Linked DNA regions of Styela clava. The protein of the gene in region 1 purifies or fractionates together with the protein of each later gene. This does not show direct contact. Links are inferred from orthologs where the notes say so. Each region holds a gene or a part of one and is shown in the gene's direction. Other genes may lie near its edges.

Region 1 (7,769 bases):
AGGGGGTTAAACAAACAGGGGTCCGCGGCCCAAAAAGTTTAGGAAACACTGTAGTATAGTATATAATAATTATGACATAACAATATAGTAGTCCTCTCTCGCCGATGAGTCTCATTGATTTCACCGAACTAGTGAAGTGAGTCGCAAATCAGTGATAAATGGACTGCCCCCATAATAAATAAAAAATATTGTATTGATATTAAATTTAAAAATATATATTAATAATTGCCATACTGCATGACTGGGACATCTAAGTCAACCAGGCGGCAGGACAGCTTGTTCAAATCGGGACAGTCTATTGTTATGCCATGGTATGCCTACTCAAATCCCTTCGGTCTCCCCTACTTTTTCGGTATTTCATTCATCTCTGATATATTAGCGTTTGCCTTATATACCCTGCCACATATCTGATTTGCATACTAATACCTCTTGTTTTCGTCTCGTTTCAAAATTTTTGATGAACCTCTTTGCCCCTTCTATTACTACTAGACTAACCACTTATTACTACCTTCCTACTCCTCCTGTACTCTATCTGCGATTCCCTTGCCTCTTCCCAAACTCTTCTTCTGCACCAACCCTATTCACACTGTACCCTTCTAAATCCCACCTGGTCTTCAGCATTTTAACAGCCTCTAATCTAACCCATTAACATCCACACCCTTCTCGTCCACCTGTAATCAACCCCATATTTACCCGCTTGACATCCCCGGACCATCGCAACTTATAACGCTAACCATCCTTTTTCGAAGAAAAGTTGAGGTTTAATTGCTGGAAAATATGCCAACGAGTTCAATGGTGCAAACGAAGAAAAAACATAATTAGTCGAAACTGGTCACTACCTGCCCATCACGAACTGTTAAGCCATCAATAATCACCATAGCCGTCAGTTTACTTTACAGGATCAATATTGTTTTCATTCATTATTTGAAATCGTCATGTAGGTTACATAAAATACTCAATTTTTGTACGAACCAGGTAGATGTCTGAAGTTAGTTATTTTCCCCATCGACAAAAACTGTTGCATGACCCTGCTTCAATTGATTTGATACCATGTGCGTAGCTTCGATATAAGTTTCATTGAGGTGAAAAATCTTAAAAACTCGAGACTGGAGTGGAAAGTAGTAAGTATTCCATTTTGATCCCGTGTAGCATCAACATTGGGAAATGGTAATGGAGAAGATGAAAAAATGCTAACGTTCAGAAAGAAAAAAAACTTCTTACTCTATTCATTACAAAAACTGGTTGGTATGTTGCTTGTCTAATAATAAAGACACTATTGTTCAAACCTCTTGGATAACGCATATTCATTAGTGCTGATTTAAATGATAATGGTCGTTTTACTGCCAACCCACTTGAGTAGCAACCAAAAAATGGTATCAATAAAAAATTTACCATGATGAACAGAAGGGAATTTGTTCCCAAGTGCCCTTAGGATTTCTGAAGTTTCACTAGGTCTGTGGTAGGTCCCTTGGCTGAAATTTAAATTTTGTTTGCTAATATATCTTTTGAATCATGGCTGTTAGATGTTTTTCACGTTCCGGTATGTCCCCCGTTACTCATAAATAGACACACAAGGATTTGTTTGGTCATTGACACTTTACTGTATTGTTTATATTGAAACTTAAGTTGAGAATCAACCCTATTAGCCTCCAAGCAGACTTAATGTATTCATATGTAAATTGTATTGCTGGTTGTTTAACTATCGATTAGATAGTTTAACTGCCGAAGCCTCGCTCATCAATAATCAGAGTGCTCCAACAATCAAGTTAGCCTACTAAAACTTGCTAATGTTCATTTAGATATTTGAACCTTGGGTCAATATTATTCGTCTTACTATTGCATGTTAATTTTTTTACTGGATGGAAAAATAAACTTGACTATGACTAATCTCAAGCAATCTTGATATTCCGGATATTCAAAATCACTCATTTAACATCTGCTTTTCTTTCATCCTAACCACAAATGCAGCTTCAAACAATTCAAGCACATCTAAATTGAAATAATATTGATCTCGTAATGCAAAATAACGATTGCGGTGGACATTAATAGTCCACCGGGCCATTTACATATTTATCCCAGAGGAGAGGGGAGCCGATCCGTGCCCTCTCGTCCGTATACCAGTCCGTGTCGTGGATGGGATTAGGTAAACCTATAAATTTACGGTTAAACCGTTATTTGTTTCAGATACATGGACTCGATGGCGGGGAAAGCCATAACCTTTCGGTAGGAAGAAATGTTAAGAGGGTGTGGAATAGAGGAGAGGTTTCGCATTTGCCGAAATGTGCGTAGGCAACGTAATATACAGGTAGGCGCAATGCAGGTAGGCGCAAAGAAAGTTTATACAGAGATGTAAGAGAGAAGTGAGTATTTCACAGACGAACTCAACAGAAGGATACGGTAGGAAGAAAGAAGAAGTGGGGCAAGAGAGCAGACATCGATAGAGTTGGGGAGTTAGATGACTTGGCCATGTGGCGTACTGCGGTTCACAAAGCAGCAACTGAAAATTATAGATTTTTTGGAAATAAAATATCCGAATAACGTATTATTATCTTGATCAAATTTGGCATAGAAAAGGAATAGCGAAAGAACCAACAAGTTGTGTTTCGCGTTGGGGAAAGAGCTATAGTACAAAAAAGTTGAAATATATACAACTGATAATTATCTAAGACAGGCTGTAGCTAGAGATGGCAATGGCGTGACATGATTCCACGATAACAAGTCTTCTATTCCGACATGGACTAGGAACACACTGTTTATTCTTCATCGCGGCTTTTCAGTTTTTGACATTTTTTTTTAAATATCTATCCATCATGGTAAGAGTCATTAATATAACGTGCGGTACACGGCATGAATAACAATGGTAAAGTACCACTACTGTTTAATCTTCATAACAATAAATTTATGTTATGATATCATAAAACCTCACAACGAGATCCAGGAATTTTAGAGTTCGCGCTGTTGATTCTTATTATCAAACAACAAACTCATCTCAAAGCAAATACTGCTCAGTGAATTTTGATATCTACTTTGTTGAATTTGTTATCATAAATGTGTCAATCAGAAAAATTGAGAAACTACAATTTGACACGTAACACCTAAATGATGATCACGGAATACTGCGGTAGCCCTTTCGTGACTTCTCTCGTGTTACGGGCTGCAGGCGGTGGATACGGTCAAAGCTTATATATATATATATATATCGTATCCTATATTTGACTGTGAAATTGAAAATACCCAACTGCTCAACTTCGAACTGCGTCAGAAGACCAAACGCCATACGACTGCTGCGCGGACATTGTTCAGCGCCAAGGCGATGTGTCGCAATATGTATCAACTCTTTTGATATGATCAAAAATGCACAGAGTTGCGTTTGTGGCCAAATCTATCGCAGTTGATAGGGTTTACTCAGGGTTTACTTCACTCTACATTTCGTCGTATATATGAATAGCTCGTGAATTGGCGAGAAAAATCCGACTTCGTTCCAGCCGCTATAACCAACAGTCGGTTTATGTTATTGTTGCTGTTAAATTTAATAAATTGCGCTCTGGAAATTTCATTCTTTGAACGTCTGAACGGGGTGAACGAAGTTTAGATTTAGGATTAAATTTGAAATTGTTATAAAATAGTAACGTCTTGGACCGTAGTAGTATATACAGTATTTACGACTGAATGCGTGAAATCGGATATCGTATATTCTTTTGACGCCGGACTACGCATTCAGTTCAGACATTTGAAGTACAGTGAGACCTCTGCGACAGGTACCGTACCGTACCGCTGTACCCAAAGTGACTATAACCACTTATAGTCACTTTGGCTGTACCGTAGTTAACTAACTGGCGTGAGCGTGGGATTTCTTCGGTTCTTTGGTATGCGATATCCCGGTATCAACTTTGATCTATGTGTTATTAGGGTAAGGTTTTTATGGAATATATTTTTTCCACTGTACTGAAGTATGTCTGTATGTAGATGTTCCTTAAAATGTAATCCTATCCTATGTTGTGTTCTGCCAGCTGCCCACGGTCAGACGGTGCCGGAATACAGGAATAATTAATAATAAAAGTTTAAGAAAATATTCTTGCTTTGAAAACCCATACCGGTACCATACCTGACATGGTACCGGTACTGCAATAATTTCCCAGGGAATGCAGTATTTCCGAAGGAAAAAAGTAAATTTGAGGTTTAAAAATATGATACGGTACCTACCGGTACATTTTCTCACTGTCTTATATTTCTAAAACGGTAGAATCAAATATTTTAATGAAGTTTAAACTTCAAGGTTGGTAATACAGTAATAGTATTTTCCTGACATATGAGTAGGCCTATGACCACATACAGAAACTGAGAAATAGACTATACCGTAACTCATTTTCTTCATAATATCTGATTTCTGAATTTAACTTACATATTCCAAGTTTAAGTTAAATCTGCATCCTTAATTTTCTAAAGGTATTAGTTTAATTAGCACTACTAAAATTAAGTATTCCAGTCTTCATAAAATGATTCTTCAACTTACACAATAGAATCTAAGCAAGTGTTTACCTCCTATCCTACATAGTCTTCACTCTATCCAACAAAAATCAATATGGAAATGCCGATGGATCACACAATGCCAATGGCTCATAATTCAACCATGATGCATGATCATGATCATGACATGGGAAACTCAACAATGGATCACAGTGATCATGGCACAGACCATGATTCTCACTCGGTATGATTCTTGATATTTTTTAAAATATATTTTAAAGTAGCTAACTAATTCTCGTATTGTTATTTAGTACAGTATATTGGCTATACAAGAATATCTAACAACCGTAATGTATGAATAGATTCAAGAATATCATTATTTGTCACAATATTTTAATGTGGAACATTTTTTAAATATTTCCATAGAAAAACTGCCCAGTTGAGTTTTGACCAATAAGTCCCGACAGTCAGGGTGGTTCAATTCAACTCCTGTTAACTTTAGAATTTCGAAAATTGATCAAAATGACTATTTCATCACTTTTCATCCAATCTCTTTGATTTTACAATGATATGTTCCTGTTGATCATGTTTAGAATTCCATATTATAAGTAAATCATTATTCATTGAATTGTTTCAAGATGCATTCAGAACATTTAATTACTAAGTATTACGTATTCCTGGATACATACAGGATGTCCACAAAATACTGGTAGCTTGTAGTTATTTATCATACAATAAAATATTTTCAAACTTACGATTGTTATTACTATAAAATAGAGTGAATTTTGAATTGCTATCACTATAAAATCAGGCAAAATTTTCTGTATAAAAGACAGTTTTCATGAGTGGACTACACCACAATTCAGGTTTATTTTATTTTTACCTATCGAAGGCCTCTTGATGCCCCCAATTATTTCAAACCCATTCCACCATCTCAAATTGTGTAGGCAAGGCTGAATCTGAAAAATTCCTGCACTTTTTAAAAATGGTAGCATCTTGCGTATCAGTGAATGCTTATACAGAGCATTGAAAGGGTTGAGAATGCAAGTCTAATCTGCTCTGTACAATAAACAAAGAATGCCAATATTAGGCTTGGGCCAATTGATTGCTAGCTACAGTCAAGGCATGGGCCATCCAATAAAGAATTTTGTGATATATATTGTTTATACTCCTGGTTGCTAATTGTGCCAACTGTCAAGACCAGACCATATCAATGTTCTTTATGGAATTGTGGACTGAATTCAGATATTTAAGTGATTTATGTTATTGCACTGCACTCATTTCATAACATAAGCAATAGATCTTATTTTGTTTCATAAATTTTTTGTTATTGCTGAGATGTTTTTAATGAAAAAGCACTCTGTTTAAAGAGTTAGTGCTTTTCTTATAATTTTGTCCCTTTTATAATATTATGCATAAAATGATCAATATTTGCTCAATAAATTTCAAAGTCTAGCGAATCGTTTGACTCGTAGTTTTATCACATTTTTGTCGTTTTATTGCAACAAGCTTTGTCTAAATTGAATGAGGTAATTTTTCTATCTACCCATTTTCCTGTTATTGACCACTAAACAAATATTCAATATTATGTGACGCTTTTAATTTCTAGTTCCCTCATTGTAGACAAAAGTTAACACAGTAAAATGAACCGACAAAAAACGTCCTTTTGTTTGGGGTGTGTCTGTTGTCTAACTAAAAGTATATTTTGATTTCTACTTTTATTGTTGGAATTGAGACACTTGAAGATGGAAGATTTTATGCTCAATCACTTTTAGAACAGCAATTGTTTGTTGAAAATATTTTCCCGCATTCTATTGTTGCTTCCACTCACAATATCGAGTGGAAGTTGTTTTGCCTCTTGTTTTATAAAAGTTATTTTAAGCGTGAGAATGATTTTTATATCATTTACATTTTGGGGGTTGTCCAGCACTTTGATTTACATTTTGATATATGTAACGTAAATGGTTCTAGATATATAAGAAAAAAACATAATTCAATATTACATAAAACCCGGTTTGTGCCACATTCATGCCTATTTGGATTAGCCAGATTCATACGGATTTTCTTCAATTACACCCTCAGGGTACACTGCGCTTTCCTTTGCGATTGTATGTAATCCTATTGGACATTAGGTGGCCACTATGCTAAATTGTTGATGTTTTCCTTATTTTTCAAGATGCGAGCTGTATCGGAACTTGTGCATGATGTTGGCTTGCATACAGAAAATGTCTGCTGAATGTATATAGCAGGATTGAACTGTTAGTGTATTAATTTTGAATTGAAAGATCGATTATCTATAATGGTATTATTCAATGATATAAGACAAGCTTTTTGAGCTATTTTTAGAGTATTCATTGTCCAGAGAGAACAAAGGGCATTGCAGTAATATATTGCAAAACTAAACTTACCTCCTGCCAATATTTTTGATTTATTGTTTTAGTAAAATGAAAAAATTATTTGCCTATCACCGGTGACAAAACCTCAATTTGGCTTACTAATAGAAATACTTATTTTATGAAAAGATTTATTTGTGGTTGGGTGTGGTGCACTGTGTTAATTCCCAATGATCTTTAGTTTATGTTGTAGGATTACTTCCGATTACCGTAACAATGATGACTGTATAAACGATATGTAAAATCCATATTTCCAAAAAATCCATCTCTTGAATGTTTATGCATAAACCTCACGATTGTTTCAAATCCGTAACTTCCAGACAACTTTGTGAGAATTTCTTTAACCATAATTACACATGGAATGATAAATATATCTCTAATATCGCTTTCAATTTAACCACACATCACGATTTGATGGCATTGTGAATTTATCGGTAGATTCCACAGCGTGGTTGATTTATATTCTAAAATTTTGATTTAATAATAAACATTTAATTAAAGGCGCTCCAGAAGTGTGTTGTGTACCAATATGGAGGTACCGGTAACTAATTTTGATCGCCTATTTTATATAAAGTTGTGTAAAGGGACTGAGACCTATGGGCAGGGGGTATATTCACTTGGCTAACACAGACAGTATTTTAACTCATAATAGAACTAAAATAAGGAAGATTGGAATATAAGTATGGCCTAACCCTAAGCTGGTACACATACTGCAGGAGTACCCATTTGAGTACTTGTTTATTCACTGAAATTTTGTCGTCACACTGTTTTACAATGCACATAGTTTTTTTTTATTGGTAATTGTACATAAGTTTGAACAATTTGTGATTCATTGTCGTTTATTGACTACACAACACACATACCAATTTTGCTGTCATGCGAGCATTTGTTGTTTATGGATAGCGGTTA
Region 2 (8,564 bases), on another chromosome or scaffold:
TTTTATCAACTATTTAGATGTAACATATTTAAAAACGGTTAGGTGTTTCAACTTAATTTACTGGATAATTCATCAAACACTTTTCTCTCTTGGTCATACATCAAAACTGTATGTTCATTAAACTTGGAATTATTGTGCAAATCCTAAAATGCCAAAAAATGATTTGACGCCCTCTTGTGGATGCTTTTCAGAATTTCGAAAAATTATCGTTTTTGAAAGAGCGATTTCTCAAAAACCGCCAATAAAGGCAGCACTACGACACATTCGGAGTAAAGCAGATACCTTATAGATTTGATTTCATTATGTCAGAACAGTAGCAGCACGTTTTGACTTGGCCATATATAATACCAAACATAGCGTGTATTCAAACTTTTATAAACAATGCAGACGTAACATATTTAAAAACGGTTAGGTATTTCAACAAAATCTATGGAGTATCTGCTTTTCTTCGAATGTGTCGTTGTGCTGCCTTTATTGGCGGTTTTGTGGAAATCGCCACTCCAAAAACGGTATGTTCGAGATATTAAACAAAATTACTATGGGGCGTAAGTCATTTTTTTGTTGTTTTATACAATTTGCAACTTATTCCAAGTTTAATGAACGTTCATTATTGGTGTACGTCCAAAAAAAAAGATGTTTGATGAATTATCCAGTAAATTTAGTTAAAATACAAAATCTTTTTACAATATGTTACGTGTACATTGTTTATAAAATTGTAAATACACGTTATATTTGGTATTATATATGGCCAAGTAAAAACGTGCTGCTGTTGTTCTGACATAATGAAATGAAATCTATATGGTATTTTCTTTTCTCCGAATGTGTCGTAGTGCTGCCTTTATTGGCGGTTTTTGAGAAATCGCCCTTTTAAAAACGATATTTTTTCAAAACTTCAAAAAAACACCACAAGAGAGCGTCAAATCATTTTTTGTTATTTTAGGATTCGCCGTCTTATTCCAAGTTTAATGAACATACAGTTTTGATGTATGACCAAGAGAGAAAAGTGTTTGGTGAATTATCCAGTAAATTAAGTTGAAATACCTAGCGTTTTTAAAAATGTTACATCTACATAGTTGACAAAACTGCCTTTATTGGCGGTTTTTGAGAAATCGCCCTTTTAAAAACGATAATTTTTCGAAATTCCGAAAAGGATCCACAAGGAGCGTCAAATCATTTTTTGACATTTTAAGATTTGCACACTAATTCCAAGTTTAATGAACCTACAGTTTTGTTGTATACCCAAGAGAAGAAAGTATTTGATGAATTTTCCAGTAAATTTAGTTGAAATACCAAACCGTTTTTAAATATGTCACATCTACATTTTTTAACAAAATTGAAAATATACGCTATGTTTGGAATTATATATATCGTGGAAATCGCCACTCCAAAAACGGTATGTTCGAGATATTAAACAAAATTACTATGGGGCGTAAGTCATTTTTTTGTTGTTTTATACAATTTGCAACTTTTTCCAAGTTTAATGAACGAATAGTATATATATATGTCCAAGAGAAAAAGAAGTTTGATAAATTATCTAGAAAATTTAGTTGAAATATCAAACCGTTTTTATATATGTTACGTCTGCATTTTTTATAAAAGTCTAAATACACGCTATGTTTGGTATTATATATGACCAAGTCAAAACGTGCTGCTACTGTTCTGACATAATGAAATCAAATCTATAAGGTATCTGCTTTACTCCGAATGTGTCGTAGTGATGCCTTTATTGGCGGTTTTTGAGAAATCGCCTTTTCAAAAACGATAATTTTTTGAAATTTTGAAAATAATCCACAAGAGGACGTAAAATGCTTTTTGGTATTTTATACTTTCCGTAACTTATTCCAAGTTTATTGAACGAATAGTATATATGTATGTCCAAGAGAAAAAAATGTTTGATAAATTATCTAGAAAATTTAGTTGAAATATCAAACCGTTTTTAAATATGTTACGTCTGCATTGTTTATAAAAGTTTGAATATACGCTATGTTTGGTATTATATATGGCCAAGTCAAAACGTGCTGCTACTGTTCTGACATAATGAAATCAAATCTATAAGGTATCTGCTTTACTCCGAATGTGTCGTAGTGATGCCTTTATTGGCGGTTTTTGAGAAATCGCCTTTTCAAAAACGATAATTTTTCGAAATTCCGAAAATAATCCACAAGAGGGCGTCAAATCATTTTTTGGCATTTTAGGATTTGCACAATAATTCCAAGTTTAATGAGCATACAGTTTTGATGTATGACCAAGAGAGAAAAGTGTTTGATGAATTATCCAGTAAATTAAGTTGAAATACCTAACCGTTTTTAAATATGTTACATATACATGGTTGATAAAATTAAAAATTATACGCTATGTTTGGTATTATATATGGCCAACTCAAAACGTGCTGCTACTGTTCTGACTTATTAAAATCGAATCTATAAGGTATCTGCTTCTCTCCAAATGTGTCGTAGTGCTGCCTTTATTGGCGGTTTCCGAGAAATCGCTATTTCAATTACGATAATTTTTTGAAATTTTGAAAAAAATCCACAAGAGGACGTAAAATGCTTTTTGGTATTTTATACTTTCCGCAACTTATTCCAAGTTTAATGAACGTATAGTATATATGTATGTCCAAGAGAAAAATATGTTTGATAAATTATCTAGGAAATTTATTTGAAATACCAAACCGTTTTTAAATATGTTACGTCTGCATTGTTTATAAAAGTTTGAATACACGCTATGTTTGGTATTATATATGGCCAAGTCAAAACGTGCTGCTACTTTTCTGACATAATAAAATAAAATCTATAAGGTATCTGCTTTACTCCGAATGTGTCGTAGTGATGCCTTTATTGGCGGTTTTTGAGAAATCGCCTTTTCAAAAACGATAATTTTTCGAAATTCCGAAAATAATCCACAAGAGGGCCACAAATCATTTTTTGGCATTTTAGGATTTGCACAATAATTCCAAGTTTAATGAACATACAGTTTTGATGTATGACCAAGAGAGAAAAGTGTTTGATGAATTATCCAGTAAATTAAGTTGAAATACCTAACCGTTTTTAAATATGTTACATATACATGGTTGATAAAATTAAAAATTATACGCTATGTTTGGTATTATATATGACCAACTCAAAACGTGCTGCTACTGTTCTGACTTATTAAAATCGAATCTATAAGGTATTTGCTTCTCTCCAAATGTGTCGTAGTGCTGCCTTTATTGGCGGTTTCCGAGAAATCGCTATTTCAATTACGATAATTTTTTGAAATTTTGAAAAAAATCCACAAGAGGACGTAAAATGCTTTTTGGTATTTTATACTTTCCGCAACTTATTCCAAGTTTAATGAACGTATAGTATATATGTATGTCCAAGAAAAAAAGATGTTTGATAAATTATTTAGGAAATTTATTTGAAATACCAAACCGTTTTTAAATATGTTACGTCTGCATTGTTTATAAAAGTTTGAATACACGCTATGTTTGGTATTATATATGGCCAAGTCAAAACGTGCTGCTACTGTTCTGACATAATAAAATCAAATCTATTAGGTATCTGCTTTACTCCGAATGTGTCGTAGTGCTGCCTTTATTGGCGGTTTTTGAGAAATCGCCCTTTTCAAAAACGATAATTTTTCGAAATTCCGAAAAGGATCCACAAGAGGGCGTCAAATCATTTTTTGGCATTTTAACATTTGCACACTAATTCCAAGTTTAATGAACGTACAGTTTTGTTGTATACCCAAAAGAAGAAAGTATTTGATGAATTTTCCAGTAAATTTAGTTGAAATACCAAACCGTTTTTAAATATGTCACATCTACATTTTTTCAATGAAATTAAAAATATACGCTATGTTTGGAATTATATTTGGCCAAGTCAAAACGTGCTGCTACTGTTCTGACATATAAAAATCGAATCGATAGGGTATCTGCTTTTCTTCGAATGTGTCGTAGTGCTGCCTTTATTGGCGGTTTTTGAGAAATTGTCCGTTCGAAAACGATAACTTTGTGAAATTTATCAAAGAATCCACAAGAGGGCGTAAATTTTTTTTCAGTATTTCAGACTTTACTCAACTTATTCTAAGTTTAATGAAGTGCATTATTGTTGTGCGACAAAGAGAAAAATATCTTCTTTGATGAACTATCCAGTAATTTTAATTGAAATACAAAATCAGTTTCAAATTTGTTGTATATACATTGTTTTAAAAATTGAAGAATATACGCTATGTTTAGTATTATATATGGTCAAGTCAAAACGTGCTGAGACTGTTCTGACATATTGAAATCGAATCTTTGAGGTTTCTACTTTTCACCAATGGTGTTGCAATGCTTCCTTTATTGGAGGTTTTCATGAAACGACCATGTTACACGACGAAAATTCAGTCATTTTTATACATCTCTCAAAGAATTATAAAAAAATTTTGTGCACTGTAACAGTCGCTTTAGCTTGTTTACCATATATTAACAATACGAGGAGTGTAGTTAATGATTGTTTTGCTTTAATTGCTATTGTGAAAATAATCAAAATATACACTTTCTTATAAAAATCATTGGGAACATTTAATTTTACGCGTGGGTATTTTCTGCGATTCTGTCAGTCACAATTTCGTGTTTTGCTGCTAGCTTCACAGAGGTTAGCGTGATGGAGGTATTTTTTCAGTCTGGTCAGGTGATTTTCCGTCAGTCGGTTTTCGACATGTTGACATTTGTTTTTTTGTCTGACTTTATCCTTATGCGTTCATTTTTTACTTCATGTATGTCATATGGAATTACAGCCCAGAACAGCAGTACGCTATGTTAACCGTTTTGTGGTCGAAAAAGTTCGTATCGTTGTACCGGTATAGGATAAGAATTACACATTTATCCCGAGGAATTACTAACGTACCTACATACAGACATATTTATTCCGTTACCGGTACGTACGTACGTGGACCGTCTGCGCCACCGAGCTAGAGAAAGACCTGATGGCTGTCGTACACTCCTGCACTCTGACACTACAGTACAGCAGTAGAGTAACGTCCGAACGTTATAGTTCAATATCTGAATATAGTGAATATACCAGATATACTGGTATTAATTAAGATACCTGGTGATAAGATGGTATAACTTGAATTGTATCATGGCAGCATGGGCGTAATGACAGAATGGCAGAATGATTAATTTTTATTTTTTCAGCAACAAAATAACTATAGGAACATCATCTCTAAATTTTTATTTTTTGTTTTTTCCTGAATGACCAGAATTTCAATCACAACATGACTGAATGATAGAAATCAATGTAATCTCAGGTTTCTACACAACAAAGATTTAAAGTATATTTATATACTGTTGGATTATTTCGCTACTGAATTTCCAGGATCTGAAGCATATTGTGCTCCATGTACAATGGGAGGGAAAGATTCAAAACTTTCTATTTTGTCATATGAAGATGCTGCTAACAGAGGTGAGTTCAGCTATTGCATACTGCAGTACTGGCACACTTCAGTACAGCACACTATCCAAATTCCAAGAATTTCCCTCCATTTGGCTCAATAAAACAAACACTCCATGTGTCTCACAAACGAGGGGCGTCTGGGACCACGTCAGATGCTTCATATCGTGCCATGCTTGTCTCAATAAAAATCTAAATTAATCGTGGCCGTCACATGACCAAAATTGCCGTTTTTTGCTAAAAACTCTCGAATGCTACGGTAAATTTTTTTTTCCTTCGGTAAATCAGATTATTTTTTCCCAAGGAATTCAATGATGACGTTACTAGAGTGCGCTTTTTTGTAGTATTTTGCGCAACTTCATTATACTGTATTATTGCCGATATTGAGGGACAACAATGTCCAGACGTCTCCCAAAGAAGGGGTGTCTGATCATCTGTAAAATGGGTTTCTCTGAAACGGGACAATGTCACCCAATTTGTATAGTGTGCCGTACTGCACTTCCATGATGGCCAGTATTTACAGTATTGAACAACGCTTATACCAGAATTTGCTATAATTTGCAGTTAATATATATTTGTTGGGTAAAGGAATTTTTGTGTAATATTTAAAAAAAGAGTAATCTTATTGAATACTGTGCTTGTTATTGTCAACATAAGTATGTAATTATTGCTTTGTATAACACCTAGTGAAAACCTAGTCAAATTGATTACAATTCTTTTTAGTGACTAAAACTGAATTTGCCAGACTGCAGAAAGCTTACAAATCTGCTTGTGGATTTTCGGGTTCCATGACAGAAAATGTTTTAATCAAAGATGTTTTGGGTGACTTTGTGCCTACAAAATTAGCTCAGGTAAACGTGTTTCAAACAATTTTGTGAGATAGGCCTATGGTACATGTATATATATTGTTCATTACTAGGCTCCGATATGGTATATAAATTGCCTCATTATTTCCATGGAAATGAATAGAAATAATCAGTACGACTTCAATGTGCGATTGAAGTAATATTAAAATTCATTTTTTTTAATTTTATATTCAACTTCCATTGTCACATTATAAAGCTTTGTTCATTTTTAGAGATTATTTGCTGTAATGGCATCCAGTTCACGTGGGATGACACAACGTGACATGATCACAACCCTGGTTTTATTGACTCGTGGTAAACAAGAAGAGAGATTGAAATGTAAGTCTGCTTTAATAAAGACTATGTCTATCACTCTATGTCTACTAGAACATCTCTTATGTGAAATCTGTTTTAAGTCGCAATCATTTGTTAGATAGTGTGTGTGAGCATTGAGGATTCTTGGCTTTAGTTGTGGCTAAAATTTTTTCGCAATAAGTGTTTATCAGTCCATTTTGTTGAGCAATATACTATTCACCCATCAGAACACTTAAACAAAAGTATTGGGTGCAATTATTCAATATTGATATTTATGTTAATTTTCAAATTCTTTCTACAGTGATCTATGCAGTTTACGCTGACAACTCTGGTCTCTTCGTTACAAGACGCAGTATGGCTCTCATGGAGACTGCATGTGAGGGTACAGCTCTACCACACGAAGCAGCAGAACTCTTTACAACGGTAATGATCAAGACTTCGGCTATTTTTAAACAATTCATTTTAGACTCAATTTTACTGATCACTCGTGTTATTCATTGCAGACTGACAGAGTTCCAGCTGAAGTATTTTGTGACTGGATTAAAAATCACTCAGACATAACCTCAGTTACAAAATGGCTCTTAAACTCGGGTGGAGTAACTGTCAGTTTGACAGATTCAACAGAGATGGCAAACTTTTATCAGACACTGGCTGGTGTGACTCACTGTGAGTTTGTTGATGAGAAATAGTTAATTCAATGTTATTTTTTATATGATAAATTTTATTAAGTAAACAACTACTTTCAAATATCAGAAATATTGTCAGCTTTATCCAAGGCTGGGTTTGAATATTCCGTGGCATCAAGAGCTGTAGTGATTTCAAACTAGCTCCCCAGCTAAAATATTTCTACTCAAACGGATACAATATGTTTCAATTCATATATGATTCATTATTGGTCATTATTGTATATTCATTCTGGTTTTCATCACAGGAAGTAATTATATAACCGAGATATTATTGTCATTTGACTAAGTTGGATTTTTTAAAAATATTTTTATGTCCTTTACTATAAAGTAAAGGACACAGTATGGAGCAATCTTGCTTGTTAAAATCACTTACCGGTATGTAATATCCTTCTACCACCTCGGCTCAGTAATCAAGTCTAATATTTGGAACTGGCCCACTCAGGAAAGTAATTGCCCACCCCTGTTCTACACTATCTTTGTATAACATTGATCTGGAACACACACACCTATTATAAAAGAAATATAGATTCATGCATAAAGTTCTGAATTTGAATATTTTATCTAAATATCAACATCGTATTTTAATTCCATATTTTTCTCAGTGGAAGAAAGTGACATTATCGATCTGGAGAAACATTACTGGACTTTAAAATCACAATCGAAGACTGGACGTTTTGATCTTCAATTATTCAAATCGATTGTTTGTCCTCCATTGCCAGAGTCTATAGTTAAAGGTCTGTAACAAAGACATGTTTTGCCTGATCATTTATTTAACTCATACACTGTATTTTTATATATCTTTATTGCAAGTTACCGCTCTGAAAATAACAGCCTTGTTTATTAGGGGAGTCACTATATGTTTGTAAGATATGTGGAACGAATAAGTGGAATTAATATTTTTGCCAACGTTTTATTGCAGGACTATTTGATGCATTTGATCAAAATGGAGACAATCACATAGATTTTAAAGAAATATCTTGTGGGGTTTCTGCATGCTGCAGAGGCCCGTTGGCTGAACGGCAGAAATGTAAGTCAAAAATATTTTACGTTGTTCTACCCTCTCCAGTGTCAACCTTCTATGATATATTTCTGTATATTTATATACGGTACCTACCACCATTGTATTGTGAGAACCTACCATACCTTCAATAAAGAGTAATTTTCAATATGCTTATGTTTGATTTGCCATCTGAGTGAAGAAAGCCATTTTCTTGCGTTACAGATGAAAATCATATGAAATTAAATGAATATGAATTATGTGTTGTGTGTCAATAAAATGTGTTTCACTTTCAAATCTTTAA

Evidence for each region.
Region 2: the proteins of high affinity copper uptake protein 1-like (region 1) and ubiquitin carboxyl-terminal hydrolase 32-like purify together in Homo sapiens (co-immunoprecipitation; 3 studies listed by BioGRID and IntAct, with this or other methods). This does not show direct contact. The link is inferred for Styela clava from reciprocal best matches to the Homo sapiens genes SLC31A1 and USP32.

Annotation. Positions count from the first base shown.
Region 1 is NC_135254.1:8,937,261-8,945,029, forward strand, and holds the start of high affinity copper uptake protein 1-like, read left to right. Parts: upstream 1-4,431; 5' UTR 4,432-4,582; coding exon 4,583-4,711; intron 4,712-7,769.
Region 2 is NC_135252.1:1,654,892-1,663,455, reverse strand, and holds the start of ubiquitin carboxyl-terminal hydrolase 32-like, read left to right. Parts: upstream 1-5,187; 5' UTR 5,188-5,371; coding exon 5,372-5,429; intron 5,430-6,140; coding exon 6,141-6,268; intron 6,269-6,495; coding exon 6,496-6,601; intron 6,602-6,878; coding exon 6,879-7,000; intron 7,001-7,080; coding exon 7,081-7,243; intron 7,244-7,865; coding exon 7,866-7,997; intron 7,998-8,182; coding exon 8,183-8,290; intron 8,291-8,564. UniProt on the Homo sapiens protein: Deubiquitinase that can remove conjugated ubiquitin from target proteins, such as RAB7A and LAMTOR1.